Schizosaccharomyces pombe: one gene and its partners. The main gene of each other region encodes a partner of the protein of the gene in region 2 in a complex. Each region holds a gene or a part of one and is shown on either strand. Other genes may lie near its edges. A codon is read from its position in the direction of its gene.

Region 1 (5,709 bases), 2.5 Mb from region 2:
GCGCTGCCACGATCCGACTTCCAATTTCTTCGTCTTTCATACTCATTTCTAGCCCTAATTTCGGATCTACCTCCTTTTGCAATATAGTGTGAACGGTTTGAACATCTTTCTTCTGAATATACAATTCGATATCATACACATGAATACTTAGAAAAGAAACATATCGCGGTCCTGAACCTAACAAAAATAGTTCATCCTCATTATTAATTCTTTTTTGAACTAATCCTTCGTATGTTTGTTGAATTGTCTTGGTGACACTCTCACAGTATAGAGGGCGAGTTTGATACATGGCATTTATTGTTGCTACTGAGCTCCAAAAGACCAATCCTGGTCGTTTCGATAACCAATTCTTGCAAAATTGATAAGCAAAAAAACGAGTACCAAACATGTTGTTTAGTTTAAATACACACACACAGATATTAGCCGGTTGGTATTGGATCACATGTTTTTCCAAGAGATCCTAGATTTTAAGGAGGTGCGCAAAAACAACTAACAATGTTGAAACATACGGTTATTATATAGTGAAAAAATTAATTAATTAATTAATCGTCTAATTTCTAAAGAGTAGACTGTTATTTTCTAGTATAAGTCTTTGAGTTTAATTTTAAGTATTCCTATCCATTCGTAATAAGAAAAAATGTCAGTCTATATATCCCATTGTCCGCCGTATCCCAAAATAAATAAAACGACTATTTTAAACCAATAGCTCTCATAAAAGTCTCTTTGAACTCATCATAGTCAACAATGTCAAGGCCATTAACTGGCGTCAATTCATTTTTAAGCTCGTGAATCAATACGAACCTTCTATATTTATCATAATTTTTTTTCTGGTACAATTGTAGAGTGCTGGCTAAAGATACATCAGCGCTATCATCGATCACAATATCCCAATCCTGATACAAAGTCACGTTCTTCAGCGCTGGGTTGGTCAGGTAGCGCTGGAGTGTATTCAATAAGTTTTGAATTTCCAAGAGACTTTTGTCTGGATTGTTTGTTACAAAATAGCTCTTGACCATATCCACAATTGATGGGGGTAGAATTAAAATCCATGAATCTTTTTTAATCTCAAGAAATGGACTAATGAGTTCCAAAAGCCGTGGTGTTTTTATAAGTGCTGAGAGTGTAACAGATACCACCCCACCCTTAGGAAACATCGGTCTTAAGTACTGTGAATATGTCAACTTATCAAGGGGTTCATTGTTTTTCTTAAAGTCCGTACCCACGTGTGAATCATTAGGACTTTTGAGAGGGAGTGACAAACCAAATAAGAAAAATTTACAACTTTTCCTTTTCGCCAGTGTTAAAAATTGCAGTTGATCAAAATCATCCTCTAGTGAGACATTCAGGAAAACAAAAACATTCTGTGATAAAAACAAAGATTCCGGAATCTCGAGTCCTCGAAATGTCGGAATAGCAGCTTCTCTAAAAGTATCCTCCAATTCTTCTGCCTCCGGAGAAGGCTGTTTAGAGACAATTAAAATTTGTGTAGCTTGAAAAGCGCCTATTTTATGTAAATCGATGTGGCCTAATTGTAGTAAATAAGACAAGTAAGATTGGGATTTATGATATGGCTTTTTAGGCCTTAGATTTTTTGCCGACCATTCGACTAGGATTGATTCTAAAGGTTCAAAAATCACCATCCAAAAAGGGCTATTGCTTTGGCCTTGACAATCGTATAAATTCATTAAAGCATTATTATCCTCTGTAAATAATAATAATGTATAGTTACTACCCAGAACGATGCCAGCACCGTTGCCGCGGTTTAGTATATTTTTAAAGTGAGTCATATCAACATCGCTTCGAATACAAAGACTTCCGGAAAGAACTTTAGTCAAGCAAGTACCAAATACCTCGAGATATTGTGAAGTAACAAAACGTAAAACATCTACTTGCTTGCAACTGACTAAACTTCGTAACAACTGTTGATGTTCAGTTTCCGCCTTAAGCTTGGATATATCAAATGACAATTCTCCAGCATAGTAGAGAGATTTTCCGACTCGCAAAACGAATCTAAAATAATCAGACAATGTGCTTGCTGAAGAAAGATCTTCGGATTCGCTTATCGAATGGTGAAGAGAGTTATCCGAATTTAAAGTAATATTACCAGCCGGAACTACTTTGCTAGCTCCATCATTTTCAAAAGTTTGATCGCTTTTAGAAACACTGTTCCAGTCGTTATTAACAGTAGTCCAACTACTTCCGATAACACTTTTCTTAAGCTGCTTAGCATCTTCATTCGTCACGTTTACGTTGAAATCGAAATTTTCGTCCAGATCGACATTGCTAGCAAATTTTTCCGACTCAGAAAGGGTATCTGTTGTTGTTTGTGTAAAAGAAACGGACCTTGCATTTGCTTTCTTTGAAGGGGTTGTTTTTAAAATAGACTTTGAGACTTTACATTCTTCCATATCAGTTGATATCTTCCCTTTTACTAAAGTTACATGCCAACTTGGATGCCCTTTATCATACGCAAGTTTGGCTTGTTCGATAGAATCGAATTGAATGTAGGCCATATTACAAACTTTGTCTTTCTTTGGTGATTTGAGAAAAAAGACCTCAATATTTCCTTTGATAAAAGCAAAGTACGATAAAATATCTTGCTTCGTTAAAGAACCAGAATTATCACTAACTAATATCGTATGCGTTTCTAATTTCGGTGCTTCCTTTTTTATCTTCAAAGAGGAAGGAAGAGGAGTCGAATTGCTAAAAAATAATGAATTGGCAACATCATTATCGGAAGTTATTACTGGCGACAGACTTAAAGGGCTTGAATGCCTAAAGGTTGACAAGGGGGTGTTAGATTGTGGTGAATTCGCATTTTCAACAAAAGCGCCAGTATTTTCAAGATTGTTCGAATTTTGAATTCCGGGAACTGAGTTGTCAGAGTCACTGGGCATCAACATTGTGCTTTTAATTTCGCCATTTTTCAAAGGTATTGCATCGCTGGAGAGGCTTTTGGACAATAAAATACTGTCGGTAACTGTAGGCCACTCTGATAAGTAGAAAGGATTAACATCAGGGCTAGTTTCACCAAACGATGTGGATAGCGTGCTAGTTTTATCGGTCAAATTCCTCTCCTTCAATTCCCCTTGCATACTTTTTCTCTCAAACGCATCCTCATCCATTGTCTGATCGTCCTCTTCCTCTTCATCATTTGCGATGGTTACAATCCTTCGGGCAGGCTTCTTACGCATCTTTTTGAATTTTTCTTTGACTTTTTGAGATAATTGGGTAAGCTCGGATTTGCGCTTTTGTCTTTGTTGCCTCAATATCTCCTTTTCTCTCTTCATTTTCTTTGCCTCATTATCTTCCGCATCGAAAGGTTCAAGCAAGCCTTTAGCAATTAACTTTTTCCGTTTTTTCCATTTTTTAAGCACTTTTTCCGCACCGAATAAATTTTGTTCAGGTTCCCAAGTATTATCATACCAATCATAGCCAGCCCATTTTATATAATATTCGTTTATGCCATTTTTATTTACGCGGTCAGCAAGGATATCTTCCACCTCATAAACATCCGCGTCTGTCTCACCTTCATTCGAGTCAATATCAGGAAGTGGTTTAACAGATACCATTTCAAGGTAGCGGGTTTTTTGCTCACCTACGTGTCGCTAAGAGAGATTGAAGTATTACAACAAAAAAATATATAAAAGGATAAAGATATGAATTTAAAAAAAAAACGGAATTAAGCAAGATTGAATAGATTCCTTGACAAAACTATTAGCCAAAGTTCTTCCCTTTCAACTACTTTTATAGTTGCATGAAGGGCAGAGTATAACCTCTAAAATGGCTCAAATATTTCCCTTTTGCTTGTGATTTTTTTACCAATGGAACACAAGAATAACAACAGATAATTCCAGTAATGAAGCTTTTAGATGTTAGAATTTCGAAGTCTCGCTGCAATAAGCAAGATGGCTTATGCACTCGAATTTTGGAATCAAACAAAATCCGCGTGATTTTACCGTCGTGTCACCAACGCAAACCGTTAAATATACAAAAAAATAAGTTTTCGATTGGGTTTGGAGTTTTATTGCATTAATCAAGTGTGTGAGGTTGAGGTTGCAGATTTGAAGACACCTATGGAGACATATGTACTTTGAGAAAATACTCACTAACCACTAGTGTTACTAGTTGCATACATGAGGTACTAGTAGTCAAAAAACTTTGTTGGTAAATTGATAAATGTTTAAAATTTTCTCATTCCTCCTGAACTTCTAATTTTATTTTCTGGGTGGTTGTGTAAGTTAGAAAAACTTTAAACAAATAATGAATTTTGTTTTCAAAAAGCTACAATGAGTAGATTTTGAGCGCTGCAATTTATTAAACGATGCGTTTATACATAATACCTCTAAATGTGTTAACTCTATATAAACGAATTCAACACAACATATCATTCCAAAACTGGTAGTACAATAAGAAAAGTAAATAATTACTACGATAGAAAAAAATGATCGTGCCAAGACTCGAACTTGGGACCGTCTGCGAACTAGCATGTTAAGCAGAAATTATAACCATCTAAACCACACGACCTCTTTTGATAATTGCTTGCATTAATTTTATATAGAGGTTAACCAAGGGATCCATTTACTTATATTATTACGGAACTATGTTATTCGTTTTCCATGAAATGAACTTAATAAGAAAAACTGTTTATGTGCAGGATTTTTTTGTTTCTTGTTAACCCAAGATTTGCCAACGATAATTATTCGATGGATTACTCAAGTAACTTTCTGCATGAAGGATGCCTGCATGCCATGAGCAGCATCCAACATTGTATAACTTTTGCATAAAGAAAAAGATTTCAATTGAGCCGCCAATTTTATTCTTTCAAATTTTTAATTTCGATCATTGTGACCATTATAAAAGTGAGAAAAAGCTGCTGAAAAAACCGGAACTTAAAATATTCTTTCTTTGGCTAGATAACTTTGTAACTTGGAAATCAAAACATTGCTTTCAAAGAATTTCTACATCATTGTTTGATGCAGGACTAAAATGGGTATAGTACTGACTAATCGCACTGTAAAAACCCATACCAACCCGTCCATATCCAGTTTTGCGATTGGGTTCAATCGGTCATTCATATAATTGATAGTACTTGCATTCAATTGAGTACTTGCGCTTCTTTATATCAAAGGCATTTTAAAATGTTTACAAAATAGCGCTTTATAGTGAACAACAGCATAATGATTTTGATGATAGCAATCACTAAACGACACCAGCCTTCTCATGATTACGACATTCTTTGTAACGCAGTATAATTATTTAATGAATCATTGGAATGCGTTATATGCATTTTAACGGCCAGTGGCACTAGTGGACTTTTTTTTGTTACCATGATAAAGGATTATTACTTCCTTAGGTTTTCTGATATCCCTCTGCAACTTACCTACAACAAACTACGACTAAGTAAATTCTTCGACTATCGAAAGCAGGGTTCATTGTAATTTACAGGTATATACCTTGATATTATTTGACCTTAAATATTTGTTAACAAAAATTGTTCGTAGATTTACCGATAGAGAACTTAGCCATGTGTCAAGAGGACGAATACGATTATTTGTTCAAGACTGTGCTGATTGGGGATAGTGGTGTTGGAAAGTCAAACCTACTTATGCGTTTCACTAGGAATGAATTTAATATCGAAAGCAAGAGTACTATTGGTGTTGAATTTGCTACTAGAAATATTGTTCTTGACAACAAAAAAATTAAAGC
Region 2 (2,935 bases):
CTTCCTTTTTATGTTAAGAATAATCATCCGAATAAATTTCAAGGCTTAATTATGAAGTCGCTAACAAAGGACTACTTTTACTCGTTCAACTATGCTTAAGAAAGCTCTAAATTTTTAAAAATAAGAATTAAAACGACCGTTAATTCTCTTATAAATGCAATTCCAGGTTCTAAAGAGAGGTTACATAACAAGCAGGAAAGAATGACTGATTATTTTTCACGAATTGTCTATTTTTTTTCGGCCGATAAGTTCATTACATGCTCGATTTGTCTTTGCAAAATATCTTTCCGCGATATATCAAAGCTATTAAGCTATTAAACAGTTCGTAAATACCTGAAAACAGTTTGTTCATATAAATATGTGCAATTCTTTATGCGAACCGCCATTAAACGATAAAGAATGCTGCGATAACAACCAAATCTCAATACCAAAAGTGTAAAGATTTTTAAAAAAAGCATTGTCTTCGTAGTTCTGTATTCTTTTATAAAACAAAAGACATAAATTTAACAGATACTTGAAATAAAAGAAATCATGTTTCAAATAAAGGTACTTGTTGTCATTAGTTTTCATTAATGTACATAATGTGTTATCTAAACTTGTCACTCTCAAGGCTGAATTCATTCGCATGAATTAACGACAAGTTTCTATAATTGAAGATAAATTCAAACAACCAAATTAACACATATCCGTTCCCATCAAAGTGAACGTTCATCTAGCTCTTGGTAATGTAGAACAAAAACAACAATTATTCACGAAGCCTGCTTTTCACTTATTGGTAGCAACATATCAAAGGGTGACAGTATAATACAGGCAAGCAGTCAATCAAAATTAATTTAGTCTCAATTACAATTGCCAAAAGTCCTGGAGAAAATTATGAGCGTTCGCCACGGAGACGACGAGCCAACTGCATATCCTTGGGTTGAATCGTAACACGTTTTCCGTGAATAGCACACAAGTTAGTGTCCTCAAATAGAGAGACAAGGTAGGCCTCAACAGCTTCTTGGAGAGCACCAATGGCAGAAGATTGGAAACGCAAGTCAGTCTTGAAATCTTGGGCGATTTCACGGACCAAACGTTGGAAAGGTAGCTTACGAATTAAAAGTTCAGTAGACTTTTGATAACGACGAATCTCACGAAGAGCGACAGTACCAGGACGATAACGATGAGGCTTCTTAACACCTCCGGTAGCGGGAGCGGCCTTACGAGCGGCCTTAGAGGCCAATTGCTTACGGGGTGCCTTACCACCGGTAGACTTACGAGCTGTTTGTTTAGTACGAGCCATTATATCAAGCTAGTAGAATGAATATCAAATAAAAAGACAATCGAGAAAAAAATAGCTGTTGTGCTACTTTTGCCAATTGTTGATCTTTAGAATTAATGGAAACGCAAGCGTACTGCAGATATTTGCTATATATATGTTTTGAATCCACCCGATCTCATCAAAAGCAGGGTTAGGGTTTTGATGCAGATTCAAAACAAATAGACAGCGTCGCCCCAACTTCCCTCTCTTCAGACAATCATTTCTTTTAATTGTTTTTGAATACGGATAAAATCCTTTGTCAATTTGCATTGACTTTTATCCTACCGTTAACATCTGTTGACATCTATAAATTCATTGTTCCTTTGTTAGTCAACGGAAAACCCCTTTATCTTTATTATACTTAAAGAATTACGCGTTTTTTTGCGTAGATTTTAATTTTTTCTACTTCTTAACATGTCTGGTCGTGGTAAAGGTGGTAAAGGTTTGGGAAAAGGTGGTGCTAAGCGTCACCGTAAAATTCTTCGTGACAACATTCAAGGTATTACTAAGCCTGCTATCCGTCGTCTTGCTCGTCGTGGTGGTGTGAAGCGTATTTCCGCTTTGGTTTATGAAGAGACTCGTGCTGTTCTCAAGCTCTTCTTAGAAAATGTTATTCGCGATGCCGTCACCTATACTGAGCATGCCAAGCGTAAGACTGTCACTTCTTTGGACGTTGTCTATTCTTTGAAGCGTCAAGGCCGTACCATTTATGGTTTCGGTGGTTAAACTCCTATTACATTGATTTTTTTCTCCTTGTTTGTATATCACTTTATTATTTACCACTTAATTCCTTTTTTACCCCTGTCTGCTATAAATGTTGTGCAATTGTTCGTGAAATTTGAATTATCTATCAATATAATTTTTGTGGATTATTACCTCTTTCTGCGACTTTCCCTTTTTCAGCAGTCTTATAAGTTCTGTTTTTAATTGGATTTGTTCTGCATATGTTTTTATGACTAGTTTCTTTTGTAGGTGATATTATTTTTTGCAAACAATGTCTTTGAATGTCACACTTTAATAAACTTAATTATCACGTTTCGCAAAATACTTCATTTTGTAGTCGAAAGTAGATACAAGTTGGTATGCAAAATGGTACAGTAATGTTTCCACTTCTACAAGATTATTTTTGTTGTTGTAAATTTACAGCGTTCATACATTTTGCGACTGCTTACTGATCATTGACATACCAAGCGTCAATTGGCTTCCTGATTCTACTAGCTGAAGTGCTAAAAAAAATTACTTCCTGTATTTTTATTCTACATTTGTATCAAAATAGATTTCAAAATACCTAACTAAATCGAAAATTTGAATTGTTGACTTACTCAATAACCTTTTGATAAACAGCATCAAATGGTGCTGTCATTCCAGTCCACAAATGAAAAGACGCAAGACCTTGACGAACTAAAGCTTCCAATCCGTTGCAACATTTCCATTCCAAGTCAGATGCAACAGCCATTAGAGGTGTATGCAAGGGCTTGTAAGCCATGTCAAGGAATACTCCACCATCGGCTTTGTTAGCAAGCAAAGCTTTAATAACAGATGCAACTTTTTCAGGAAGCTCAATATCTGCAGGAATTGTCGAGACGACCGCGGAAAGGGTAACACTAGATAATTCTTCAGAAGGAATATTGTCAG
Region 3 (6,611 bases), on a different chromosome or scaffold from region 2:
GGAAGAAGTGTAAATATTAAAAGGAAATTTCCAATTCAAAGATGTGGAAAGCATTAAAAAACATCCTTCCATTCTATTGAAAATTTTAAACAATTTGAAAATACCTCGAGTTTGGATTTGCTTTTTTGAAACTAGCGTTCGTCAAAAATAATAAGTAAATAAATAAAAATTTAAAATCTCGTAAAATTCTTACCAATTAAAACCTACTTAGTTTTTAAGCAAAACAAATGAGCAGAATAGTTAAACAACATTTAATTTTTATAAAAAAAGGAACTAATGGTGACAATCATGTATAAAGTCAATGAAAAATATGGCTCATCTGTTGTTGTTAAACAGATTTCAACTCAAATGAAAATTTTAGGATGGTAGTCGCAATTAGAAATTAAAGACAAACACTTAATTGTAAAATCTCTCAATACTATATAGTTCATTCAATCGCAGACAGCTCGATTCCAGAAGAATGTATATGTTTTGATACGAATGAGCGAATACAAGATTTAATGGCCGTTGAAGATTTTATTAATAAGAATGAATTAGTAGAAATTTTTTAACATTTAAAAAGTAAATTCTATGTATTTTCCCTTTTCTATTGATGTCCATCGTTTGTTTGTATATTAGGTAGTCGATTTGTTTGTTTACATTCTCGCCAACAATTGGTATTCAAATAACCAGCTTGGCGCAGACTTTTCCTCTACCACAAATATTTACAGCATAAAAAAAATCCAAAATTGAGAGCCTAACTGTTGTTTTCGACTTCTTATCATGTCTTATGAGGGCCGTGAAGAACGACCTGAGCAGATTGCTGAACCTACTTTCGAAAATGTGTCGGAACACAATGAACATGATTCGGGATCTGCTGAGGCCCAGGTGGAGACACTGGAGGTGCCATTGAGCAACGAAACCGACAATGATGATGCCACTGAAAACGCTGTTCCTGCAGAAGTACAAGCACCTGAGGAACCCAAGGAGCCTGAAACAGTCGACAATATCGATCCTGCAGATGATGATCCAAACAGCGTGGCAGCTCCCAAGGTTGAAGAAAAAAAATCCAAGAAGAAAGCCAAGGATGAAAAACCATTGACCTACACCACTGGTGGGTATTTATACTGTCGATCCAACGGACTTATTCCGTAAGTCAAAACAGCATCCATTTATTAAAAATCAAACAATCGATTGAGTAATCTTACTAACCACATGTAGTCATGTCATGAAAAGGTATTTTTATATGCTAGAAGGCCCTATGTCTATGGATTTATTAGACCATTATTATAAAAAACACTTCCATGGTACTTTGCAAGGTAACCCAACGGAACCTTCCTTAGCTTCTGAGCAAATGCACGACTCTGATGCTGATTCCCTCTTCCAGTCTGCTAATGATCACCTTAACCGTATCGCTAAAGCTACTCAAGACTGCCGTGGTTTACTCTTTTACTCCAAATCTCAATCAACTAGTGTCCCAAGCGGAATCATTAATTTGGTAAGAATTCCTAATTCCCCTGATTTTTAGTTTTAACCGTGCTAACTGTATTTTCAGACTGATGCAGTATCCATAGAACCCGGTACTGGAAACAAATTCACCATCAATTTTAACAATGGTAAATCAGAAACACTTGAAGCCCTAGACCCAGAAAGTAAAAATACATGGATTACTGATCTCAAAAATGCCATTGCTAAGAAAAAGGAAACCAAAGATAAAATTAAAGAGCTTCGTGCTTACAATGACACGCTTAAAAGACTCGGCAAGTTAGCAGCTCGTTCAGGTCCTTCAGCAAGTGAAACATTTCGTTATTTCCTTCCAATGCTTTCTAACGGACGGGACGCGAAAAAGTCATCTAGTAAATCTCATGGCGGAAAACAAAACAATTCTGTTGCCAAAGACGGTCTTTTTGACTTTTTTCAAAACATGATTAAGGGGAAAACTCCGCAAAACGATACGGCTAGTCCCATTGATAATGAAACGTCAGCTGACCCGGTTGATACTACTGTTGAAGCACAATCAGTCGAAGTTCCTGAGAATGAAACTAACCAAATTCCCACCACTGAAGAACATTTTCCTGCTACTACGGAAGAAGTGGCTCCCGCATCAGAAGAAAAACCAGCCACAGGTCCGGCAGAAGAATCAACATCAACTCAAAATGTTGAGCAAGCTTCTACTCAAAATGATAACGGAACCCCCATCGGTCAAATAGCAGACGCCATTGAAGAAGATGTTAAAGGTACAGCCCAATCAGTTGAACAAGCTTTCATAGAAGAGACTGATATTGCACTTCCTGATATAGCACTTCCCGATGTTGCGACCCCTACTGCAGACGATCAAGACCCTTCCACTGCAGCTACTAATGAAGAGAGTGTTGTCAGCAATGAAGATAGAACGTCTAAGAAAGCCGGAAAAAAGCATCATCGGCATCATAAGAAGAAAAAAGGAGGCAACAAGAGAGTATTCGGCTTTAAGCTTCACAAGTATGCTAAACCTACCAAAAGTGTTAAAACTTTACAGGCAGATCCTTCCCTTGAATTTGCTAAGGCAGGATTTGAGATATTTCCTTCCAACCTTTCAAAGAAGCTCTCAGGTTTGGTGCAAAAAAAAGTGCATAAGAAGTTTGATAAAGACGGGAGACTAAAAGAAATTTCCCAGTTCTCAAAAACCACAATAAAACCGGAAACTCCCTTAACTCCTACAACAACTCCAACGCCTCGAACAGCTGCACAAGAAGACCCAGCTGAAGAAACAACTGATGCCCTCGCCTCAGCAGAAGGAGAAAACAATCAGATGCCCCAGGTGCTCGAAACAGAAGCAGCTCCTTCTATAGCTTCTGAAGGACGGTCCATTACCGTTAACGCTTAAACGCCCTTTTTACTTCACATGTGCGCAGCAGATGAAAAGAGTTTTTCCATTAACGCTAGGCTTTACAACAATTACTATAATGCTTTCAACAAGTGTAAAAAATATAAGCACCGATATGTTTTACCGATAATTGTTCGGCAAATCCCACAGGTCAGATAATATACATAATCTCGTTGCTTAGAAAATGAATGACCTTTTTCAGTTTAACAGTAATGGAGAAAAACAAATTGTAATTATTGGAGTCAACCAGTAATAAATTAGCTTAACCGAAAAGCCAGCCACGACAATTAGCGGAACCACATTTGCACTGCCGGCGAAGTTTTGAAATTCTATTTTGCTGAGATTTTTGAGATTGAACAGGTGAGAAATCTTTTGCACCAGCGTAATCAAATGTAAGCTCCTCTAGAGGCTGAATGTCTTTGATGGCAAAAAAAGCGAGATCATAAATGGTTCGAAATCCATGGTTCCGAACAGCAGAATAAATAGCTATATTAGGTGAACAGGAGTGGTTAAAAAAACGAGAGACATCTCCATAGTTCTGAGCATCCACTGTATACTCGCTAGCATCATCAAACATGTCTAAATCAAATAAATAGGTAATACCGTCGTCGTCATAATTTTTGTCACGCTTGGCGGCCTCTGCTGAAGTTATGACTTCTCCTAAATAGCAAGTGATAAACGTGCCAGCAGGGGCAAATCGAAGCGAACGTACACCCCATCCTTTTTCTTTTGTTTTAAATATTTCAAGCGGAAGAGTTCTACCACGTTGAACAACGCGATTAGGACACTCCATTGAACAAGAACAAAAAGAGTTGCATTCATATATAACGGCACCCGTATCTGCACGGACCCGCCCCTGTGCATCATAGGCAAAATGAGTTGGCTCATCCAAATCATCTAAACACTCACAACGAGAAGGATTGTTAAGGTCACAACCGCCAAGGGACGAGCAATTGCATCCAGATTGAAAATTTGGATCAGGCGGGATAACACCTTGTGTTAAGCGGTACTGGCTAATGAATTGAAAATCTAAAGATGGACAGGGTTCATCGTCAACTTCATTGACAAGCGTTACTTCGGGTCCTTCAATTTCCCGCAGTTTCTTACGAAATAGCTCTCTCTTTTCGTAAAAACTTAGATGGGTATAAGAGTCAAGTTTGGAAGGGTTTCGCGGTTTTGTGAGAATTGAAGATGTTTTGGGGGATGTAGCTTCTTTAATAGAATTGGAAACTAGTTCTCTTTTTTGAGATTCCTCCTTCACTTCATTTCTCGTCTTCCCCAGCTTCTTTGAATTTGTATGAAGACTATCGTCTAAAATGATACTAGTATCATTCGTCGTCAGAGCGGTGGATTGTTTTCGAGATTGTCTCTTGGTAGTTTGAGAAGAAAAAACCTTTTTATTTTCCTTTTTTACATTCAATTCCCGCGAAAATCTTTGAGAACGAGGCACTGACTTTGAAGTTTGATGTTGGTGCTTTTGTCTACTGTTTGGATGTGGATTGCTCGCATGGTGCGGTGAATCCGAGTCGGAGTTACTTCCCTTTAGTCTCCTCTTCCGCCTTTTCCATTCTGCTAAAACGGCAGAACATCCAGAAAGGTTCTCAGGGGGCTCCCAAGTATCACTTCTAGATGAATAGTTCAACCATCGAATGCGATATAGTTTGACAGCTCCATTACGATCCAATTTTTCGTCCACAATCCTTTCAACTTCATACTCCTCTTGTTTAGGCGACATTCGCAAAACTAATAACCTCTTGTTTGGTGAGATGATTTTTAGCAAACCCTCCAAATGATGCCTGAACGAATTTAAAAAATAAAATAAGGAGAGGGTTTATGTTAATATGACAATTGCTAAAGGACTAAAATAATAGACGACCGCGAACTCAGAATATAAAACTGAATGTTTTTTAGTAATGAGCAATAAATATATAAAGTCGATGTGTTCAATTTCAGAGCAAAATTGAAGCTCTGAAATTTGAAAAAGGTATCAAGTACAAAGTAATTTTAAAGTTATAATATACAAATCAACTTTCAAACAACAATCCAAACTAGCAATGCCAATTCATGTTATAACAGTTTGTATTTCGACCAGGTTGTTGAATCGCACTCCTTTACAGAAGTCAAAATTTAAAGAAACGGAGAATCGCCCCGTAAAGGAAATACGGTGTTAACAACACACTGCTCTAATGAAGAACACGTAACGTATCACTATATGTCATATGTTAGGATATTACTTTAGAGCAGTTTATTGATAAATGCGCAAAACCATTTTCATATTTACATAGACGCTGGCTAATGAAGACTAAAAAGATTATAAATTGAGCTGCAACTGAACTGAGGAATGAACTTCAGTTATAAGCTATATTAGTTATAGGTCACAATGCAATCTAGATAATTTAATACCTATACTCAATTGCTACTTGTAATACCTGTGTATTGTAATACGTTAACAAGGAAAAATTACCGCAGTTCTATGTTATCGTTAAAGCAGATACCAAACTGCGTAGCTGACTTTGTATCAGTGTGCAGCACGGAGTCTAACCCATCTGTGTCTAAATAAGAAAGTTGAGCGTTTTTAAAAAACAATAGTATGTTCAATTGCTCTATAATAATAAAAGAAATGAAACAACAGTAAGATTGTCCATAGAAAAACTTTTTACACAATTAGTCGCATCGCCATTTTTATAATGATTAAAAACTATTATATTTGACTATCGGGTTTTGATTTCGGTACAAAGAATGCCTATAAACAAGCTTCTCGCAAAATTAATAAAGTAAGGAACCAAATACCTTTGCATTCGAGCATTCATTTTTTAATAATGGTTAAACTTGAGCTCATTAGATAAACAAGGTCAATTAAAAAAGATTGAGTCTCCAGCCAACTTTCAGAACGCGATAACCCATAACCCATTCTAGAAGCACATGTTGGTATTTGGTTTTTTCGCTTGTTAATTTTGAATGACAATGGAGAAGTCATGTACTCCATTTCTGGATAAATTTTCTGCAGGCTCTAAAGGTTGATTAACAGTAGCCAATCCAAAATGTTGCTAATTTGGTTCAATTTTGAATTGCAAATCGGTGGTGCCAACATGCCTTAAAAAGTTCCATTTAAATTTAAACTTTGAAAAAATGAATAAAGAAAACAAAAAACCATACATGCTTTGACCCATATCTCTAGTGCTTCTTAATACTCTATGTGAAAGCTCCCTTGATAATTGTCGATCTCAATTAGATGGTGCGATAAATTCACCAGACTACAAACTCAAAATTTGATTGCAGAATACCTACTGTACATTAGATATATTTTTTGAACGAAGCCTTTAATCCTATCCCTTCATACCATAAACAAAAAAACAAAGCCCAATATAACATGCCAGGGATTCAATATTACCAATGATGCCTCTAGTGAATGAGAATGAAATTTCAGATCCATATACTGTGCACAAAAGATTCAACAAATACACTTTGAATGTAACTAATATTGTAGCCACCATACCGGGTTGCGAAATTTTCAATGTGGAATAGGCCATACCGAAGACAAAATCTCTGTATATATTTACGATTTTTCAATTGTATTTCTTGCTTTTAATCTTGCTTTATTATTTATTATTTGAAGTGTGAAAGGACAAGATGTAAATATATTAACAATTGCATATTCGCCTCTTATAGAATTATGACGGAAATTACCTACTTGCCGAACGAATGTGAAAATAAATAAAAGTTCTTTAGCATCTTTGGAAAAAAGAGATTAATTTCGTTTAGTTAA
Region 4 (4,230 bases), on a different chromosome or scaffold from region 2:
TCCAACGGAAAACAAACACTTAAAGTAATCCAGTCATTCGTCCAAAAACTTTTCTGAGAATTCGCAGTTTTAACAGCGTTCTTACGCATCTATCCAAACGAACCTTATTTTTTTTTCTTCTTCATCGAACGAATCATACAAAAAACATCAAAAAAAGCGATTAATCAATTCAATGGTGCATCAACAACTCTTTCTGTACAAGTGTTGCTTCATAAAGAGGGTTAAACGACTTTACTTCTTGGGAACAGTCTGACGATTCTGAAAGGCCATCATGCTGCCGATGTATTGGCACAGATACTCGCTTTCTCGACTAATGTTTTCAGATTCCTGTTTGTTTTGATCGATCTCATCCAACAAAGCTATCAATTGTTAGTCTTTTCTTTCTCCAAAACGCACCGCCATCGTACCTTGCAATTGCTGTTGCAATTCCATCGCTTTCCTATCAATTTAGCAAAGAACTAGCAAAACCACTTACTGCTCCATCAAACTTCTTGGCAAGGAATCTGTACTCATTGAGTAATGCGCTTTTTTTGTTTTTTTGCGGAAAATGGGAGGTTGGGAAGTGTCTTACCAGCGTAGCGTCAATACATGTCATTTCCCATTGCTGTGACTTAGGGGTGTCACTCAATTTAAAGAGGCCACTGCAAGAGACATTATCCTTAATTGAGTTGAGTATTGCTATACGCAATATTTAAATAGCGTTTTATGTCATAATACGTTTTATTAGCGAACGGATTACATTGGAGTACGCAACTGATGGGTCTTGCAATAAACAAATATACATAGGGCGAAAACTAGAATGAGTGCTGCTGTCTTTTGGATGAATAAGTTAAATATGGAACATACTAATAATGGATCCACACATTAATAAACTGGAAAAAGATCCCGTCCCGTAAGGATAAATCGAGGAGAGAAAGCTTGCGTCTGTGCCCTAATTATGTTTTGAAAAACATGAAATGCACACTTCATACACCAGGATGCGAAAGTCTTTCAACAATTTACATGGGAAAAAAAGAAAATAATAATCTAATAGAACTCCGTTCCAAAATATGGAACGTTGGTACAAATGATGCGTTTAGGGCGATTGGAAGAGGCATACAATAGATGCTTCTTCCCTCCATTATGCAACGGAAAGGTCGACGGTTCAAAAATGAATTTAAATAAAAGATGTGTTATGAAAAATGCTTTATGGTAACAGGAAAAAAAATGCTATTCCTCTTTTCCCATTCCATAGTTTTTATTCTCACACTATCACCAGTCATGAATATTTTACATCGAAAAAATAACGGGTAGAGCGATATATATGCGCAAACTAAAAGAGAGTATACAAAAAAGTAATCATGTTCTTTATCGGATTAGTTCTTGTCAATATTAGTATTAGCATTCAAAAAATAGTCCGATTATCATTTTACTGAGACGTCTCTGGTTTCTCCTCAGGTTTCTCTTCCGCAGCTGAAGCATTTGCAAGAGCCGACTCTTCTTCTTCTTCCTCTATATCAATTTCTTCTTCTTCTTCTTCTTCCGATCCTTTCCCATCATTTTCTCCTTCTCCATCACCATCACCTTCTCCATCACCGTCTCCATCGTCTTCCTCCTCCTCCTCCTCATCGCCTTCTCCCTCTTCATCGAATTCTTCCTCCATTTCATCAGCTTCCTCCTCTTCTTCCTCTTCGTCCGCGTCAGGCTGAACTGGTGGAGCATCGTCAAAGTCGGGATTATCCCACTGAATGTTGAATCGAGTCACCCTTGGCTTTTCTGCTAAAATACTGCGCCAGACTTTAGAAATGTCAACCTTGACCTTTTTAATTTCTGCATCGTCCATTTCCTGAAGGTTCAGGCCCTCCATCTCATTGTTGACATAATAACCTACTCGAACAAACTCATTATCCTCATATGCACAAGAGAGTAAAATAACTGTGACACCCAAAACATCGCTGAGTTGAGGTAAAAGATCGATATTAGGAGGATCAGCTTCAAAAACGAATTTATTAATCCCGATTGGTATAGGTCCCACTAGTAGCGTGTCCAAAATTTGGTCGTAACTTTGAGACGTCGCACTACCTACATATGTCAACTTCCATTCCAGGTCGCTTTTTAACGGCTCCAGACATTCAAAGGTAATTTCGAATTTATATGGATCAGAGAACTTTGCCGGATTATTTAGCACATTAACACTAAGGATATTCACGATTGACATTTCGAAGTGAAACGCGTCTAAGCGATTGCCAAGAACAGCGTAGGTGAAGAAAGGTTTCGTAGAGTTCGGATAATTAAGGATACGCTTGACTATTTTATATCGCTTTTCGTGCTCTAAGGTAATAACACCTATTTGATTCAAACATATAAGGATTAAAATGCAGTAAATATAAATACTGAAGGCACATCTAAACAATGCCTCACTATTCGGTAAACAATAGAAAACATAACCATTGTTAAGTATTTTATGCGAAAGTACGAAGAACTTACAGAGCAGTTTAGTTAAACATAACCGTTGTTTAATAAAAATTTCTATTTCATTAATAATGCATGCAATGTACAATTAATATGATCATCAAATTTCATTGTGCAAAAACAACTCGTATGTGAAACATAAAAAATAGACATAACCTCCTTCATCTCTAATTATTAAAAAAGATATACAAGCGGATTAAAACATATATTTAGGGTTATTGTAAGTTCCTTCGATCATTCGGTTATATAATATTGATGCAGCTTAACAGCAAATCCGAATGACTTGTTAATGATGTGAATTTCCATCAGTATGGAATTGTAGTACCATCATAGTTGAAAAAAAATCCATTATTTTCGGGCTTCAAATTGTCTACAACTTTCAACATATCTGAAGCGCTTTGGTCTGGTGCCAAGGCCTGTTTCGCAAAGATATCTAAAATTTCCGGTTTCGCTTCAGCATGCTGATTTACAGCTTCCTGAGCTGAATCGGTTCGAACCATTCCGGGATGAATTGAAATCACTATGAATCCTTCATCTTGTAGCTCAAAACTAATTTCCTTCATTGTAAAATTTAAAGCAGCCTTGGATTGGCCATAACCAGATTGGTTAAATGGGAAGAAAGCACCCATGGATCCAACTAATGATGAAGTAAAAACAATGATTTTAGATTCTCCTTTCTTCACAAGAGGATAAAAGGCTTGGTAGACATGAATTGGTCCTAAAACATTGGTTTTATAGTGAGAGTTCCAGACATCATCAGGAGTATTCAGAACAGTGTTGAAAGAATGAAAAATGCCCGAATTTACCCAAAGAACATCTACTTTACCTACAGCTTTTGCAACTTCTTGAGCGGCTTCATTAGCACTCTCTAGAGAGGAGATATCTAACTTAATAATATGCACATTGGAATGAGACTTGCTCCATTCTTGTAATTCAGTAGCAGCTTCAGGCTTGCGGGCACTTGCAAATACAACTGTTCCTTCTCTGTTGCTCAATTCCTTAACAAGAGAGAGTCCAATGCCTCGATTTCCTCCTGCAATAAAGTAAATTTTGTTGGTAGTAGACATATTCTAACACAATATTTGAATGATCCTTGAATCCGTTTGAAAAGTGTAATTTGGTGTCGGCAATTTATCATTAACTTCGTGCTTATATACCAATTCTTCAAATCATTATGCTTACGTGATTTGAACCGTGAATTTTGATGCTTACATAATTGAATATACTTCCAAAATCAGCAGGTTCATAGTAGTTCACGTAGAGCGTTAGGTGATATTTTGCCATATAATATGGATATTGCAACTAATCTTTATAACCCGTTCCATTGGTTTGTCAGCTGCTTCCTTGATACTGCTTGCATACTGAATAGTATTCCTTTAAATGCACCTTTCTTTTAATTTCCTTGATAAAGTATCATAAAGGGAGAATTTATTTGAAAATTGTTTAATTGATAATGCTGAGACATTGGCCATAGGAGAAAAGCGTTGAATCAGGATACAAAAAAACAACTCTTTTAAACCTTGAAGTCCTTTCACAATAAAAATTATTAAACAAAAAAAACATAGAAATAGAATAATTTTAAGATAAAATATAAGTTTGCAACCGATTTAAGCATTGCTGTATGAACACTTGAATTTTTTATATGCGACGCCCTTCTTTATATATCCAAAGGTTGAATAAAACGTATCAAGATCTAAAACTGCTGAACAATCCAAGTGGCACCTTGGACTCGCTCAAACTTTTTATGCTCGTAAACATTTGTAAGAACATATGAAATTA

What was found.
Region 1: the proteins of hht1 (region 2) and chp1 are in contact, whole or in part, in a crystal structure (PDB 3G7L), measured with the Schizosaccharomyces pombe proteins. Residues at the interface, in NP_594683.1 of Schizosaccharomyces pombe: Lys5 (codon at 1,270), Gln6 (codon at 1,267), Thr7 (codon at 1,264), Ala8 (codon at 1,261), Arg9 (codon at 1,258), Lys10 (codon at 1,255), Ser11 (codon at 1,252); in NP_593666.1 of Schizosaccharomyces pombe: Asp20 (codon at 3,515), Val21 (codon at 3,512), Tyr22 (codon at 3,509), Glu23 (codon at 3,506), Val24 (codon at 3,503), Trp44 (codon at 3,443), Tyr47 (codon at 3,434), Asp51 (codon at 3,422), Thr53 (codon at 3,416), Glu55 (codon at 3,410), Asn59 (codon at 3,398), Leu60 (codon at 3,395), Phe61 (codon at 3,392), Gly62 (codon at 3,389), Ala63 (codon at 3,386), Glu64 (codon at 3,383), Lys65 (codon at 3,380), Val66 (codon at 3,377).
Region 3: the proteins of hht1 (region 2) and clr4 are in contact, whole or in part, in a crystal structure (PDB 9IT4), measured with the Schizosaccharomyces pombe proteins. Residues at the interface, in NP_594683.1 of Schizosaccharomyces pombe: Thr7 (codon at 1,264), Ala8 (codon at 1,261), Arg9 (codon at 1,258), Ser11 (codon at 1,252), Thr12 (codon at 1,249), Gly13 (codon at 1,246), Gly14 (codon at 1,243), Lys19 (codon at 1,228), Gln20 (codon at 1,225); in NP_595186.1 of Schizosaccharomyces pombe: Ala298 (codon at 3,689), Asp299 (codon at 3,686), Thr300 (codon at 3,683), Gly301 (codon at 3,680), Ala302 (codon at 3,677), Val303 (codon at 3,674), Tyr357 (codon at 3,512), Ala367 (codon at 3,482), Ala368 (codon at 3,479), Asp371 (codon at 3,470), Thr380 (codon at 3,443), Tyr381 (codon at 3,440), Leu382 (codon at 3,437), Phe383 (codon at 3,434), Asp384 (codon at 3,431), Asp386 (codon at 3,425), Met387 (codon at 3,422), Thr395 (codon at 3,398), Ala417 (codon at 3,332), Ile418 (codon at 3,329), Tyr419 (codon at 3,326), Leu433 (codon at 3,284), Ile438 (codon at 3,269), Phe449 (codon at 3,236), Asp450 (codon at 3,233), Tyr451 (codon at 3,230), Ala452 (codon at 3,227), Gly453 (codon at 3,224), Phe489 (codon at 3,116), Gly490 (codon at 3,113).
Region 4: the proteins of hht1 (region 2) and asf1 are in contact, whole or in part, in a crystal structure (PDB 2DZE), measured with the Schizosaccharomyces pombe proteins. Residues at the interface, in NP_594683.1 of Schizosaccharomyces pombe: Leu127 (codon at 904), Ala128 (codon at 901), Arg129 (codon at 898), Arg130 (codon at 895), Leu131 (codon at 892); in NP_588267.1 of Schizosaccharomyces pombe: Asp37 (codon at 2,089), Asp58 (codon at 2,026), Thr59 (codon at 2,023), Leu60 (codon at 2,020), Leu61 (codon at 2,017), Val62 (codon at 2,014), Gly63 (codon at 2,011), Glu75 (codon at 1,975), Ala76 (codon at 1,972), Asp77 (codon at 1,969).

What each region holds. Positions count from the first base shown.
Region 1 is NC_003424.3:2,210,288-2,215,996, forward strand, and holds chp1 (heterochromatin (HP1) family chromodomain protein Chp1), read right to left. Parts: upstream 4,059-5,709; 5' UTR 3,573-4,058; coding exon 690-3,572; 3' UTR 523-689; downstream 1-522. Other genes in the region: aim18 (chalcone related protein), read right to left, coding at 1-388; Rab11 family GTPase Ypt3, read left to right, coding at 5,528-5,709. UniProt on the Schizosaccharomyces pombe protein: Component of the kinetochore which plays a role in stabilizing microtubules and so allowing accurate chromosome segregation. Has a role in the RNA interference (RNAi) pathway which is important for heterochromatin formation and accurate chromosome segregation.
Region 2 is NC_003424.3:4,698,176-4,701,110, reverse strand, and holds hht1 (histone H3 h3.1), read right to left. Parts: upstream 1,380-2,935; 5' UTR 1,283-1,379; coding exon 872-1,282; 3' UTR 551-871; downstream 1-550. Other genes in the region: hhf1 (histone H4 h4.1), read left to right, coding at 1,715-2,026; multifunctional aromatic polypeptide Aro1, read right to left, coding at 2,619-2,935. UniProt on the Schizosaccharomyces pombe protein: Core component of nucleosome. Nucleosomes wrap and compact DNA into chromatin, limiting DNA accessibility to the cellular machineries which require DNA as a template.
Region 3 is NC_003423.3:453,468-460,078, forward strand, and holds clr4 (histone lysine H3-K9 methyltransferase (Suv39) Clr4), read right to left. Parts: upstream 4,944-6,611; 5' UTR 4,581-4,943; coding exon 3,108-4,580; 3' UTR 2,846-3,107; coding exon of another isoform or gene 1,535-2,845; 3' UTR 1,478-1,534; coding exon of another isoform or gene 1,201-1,477; 3' UTR 1,131-1,200; coding exon of another isoform or gene 763-1,130; 3' UTR 529-762; downstream 1-528. Other genes in the region: pleckstrin homology domain protein Meu6, read left to right, coding at 763-1,130, 1,201-1,477, 1,535-2,845. UniProt on the Schizosaccharomyces pombe protein: Histone methyltransferase which contributes to the establishment of heterochromatin by specifically methylating histone H3 to form H3K9me. Part of the Clr4 methyltransferase complex (ClrC).
Region 4 is NC_003421.2:1,642,359-1,646,588, forward strand, and holds asf1 (histone H3-H4 chaperone Asf1), read right to left. Parts: upstream 2,227-4,230; 5' UTR 2,198-2,226; coding exon 1,409-2,197; 3' UTR 544-1,408; downstream 1-543. Other genes in the region: SPOM_SPCC663.18 (GTPAse-interacting protein), read right to left, coding at 232-359, 408-439, 476-513; osr1 (dehydrogenase), read right to left, coding at 2,757-3,518. UniProt on the Schizosaccharomyces pombe protein: Histone chaperone that facilitates histone deposition and histone exchange and removal during nucleosome assembly and disassembly.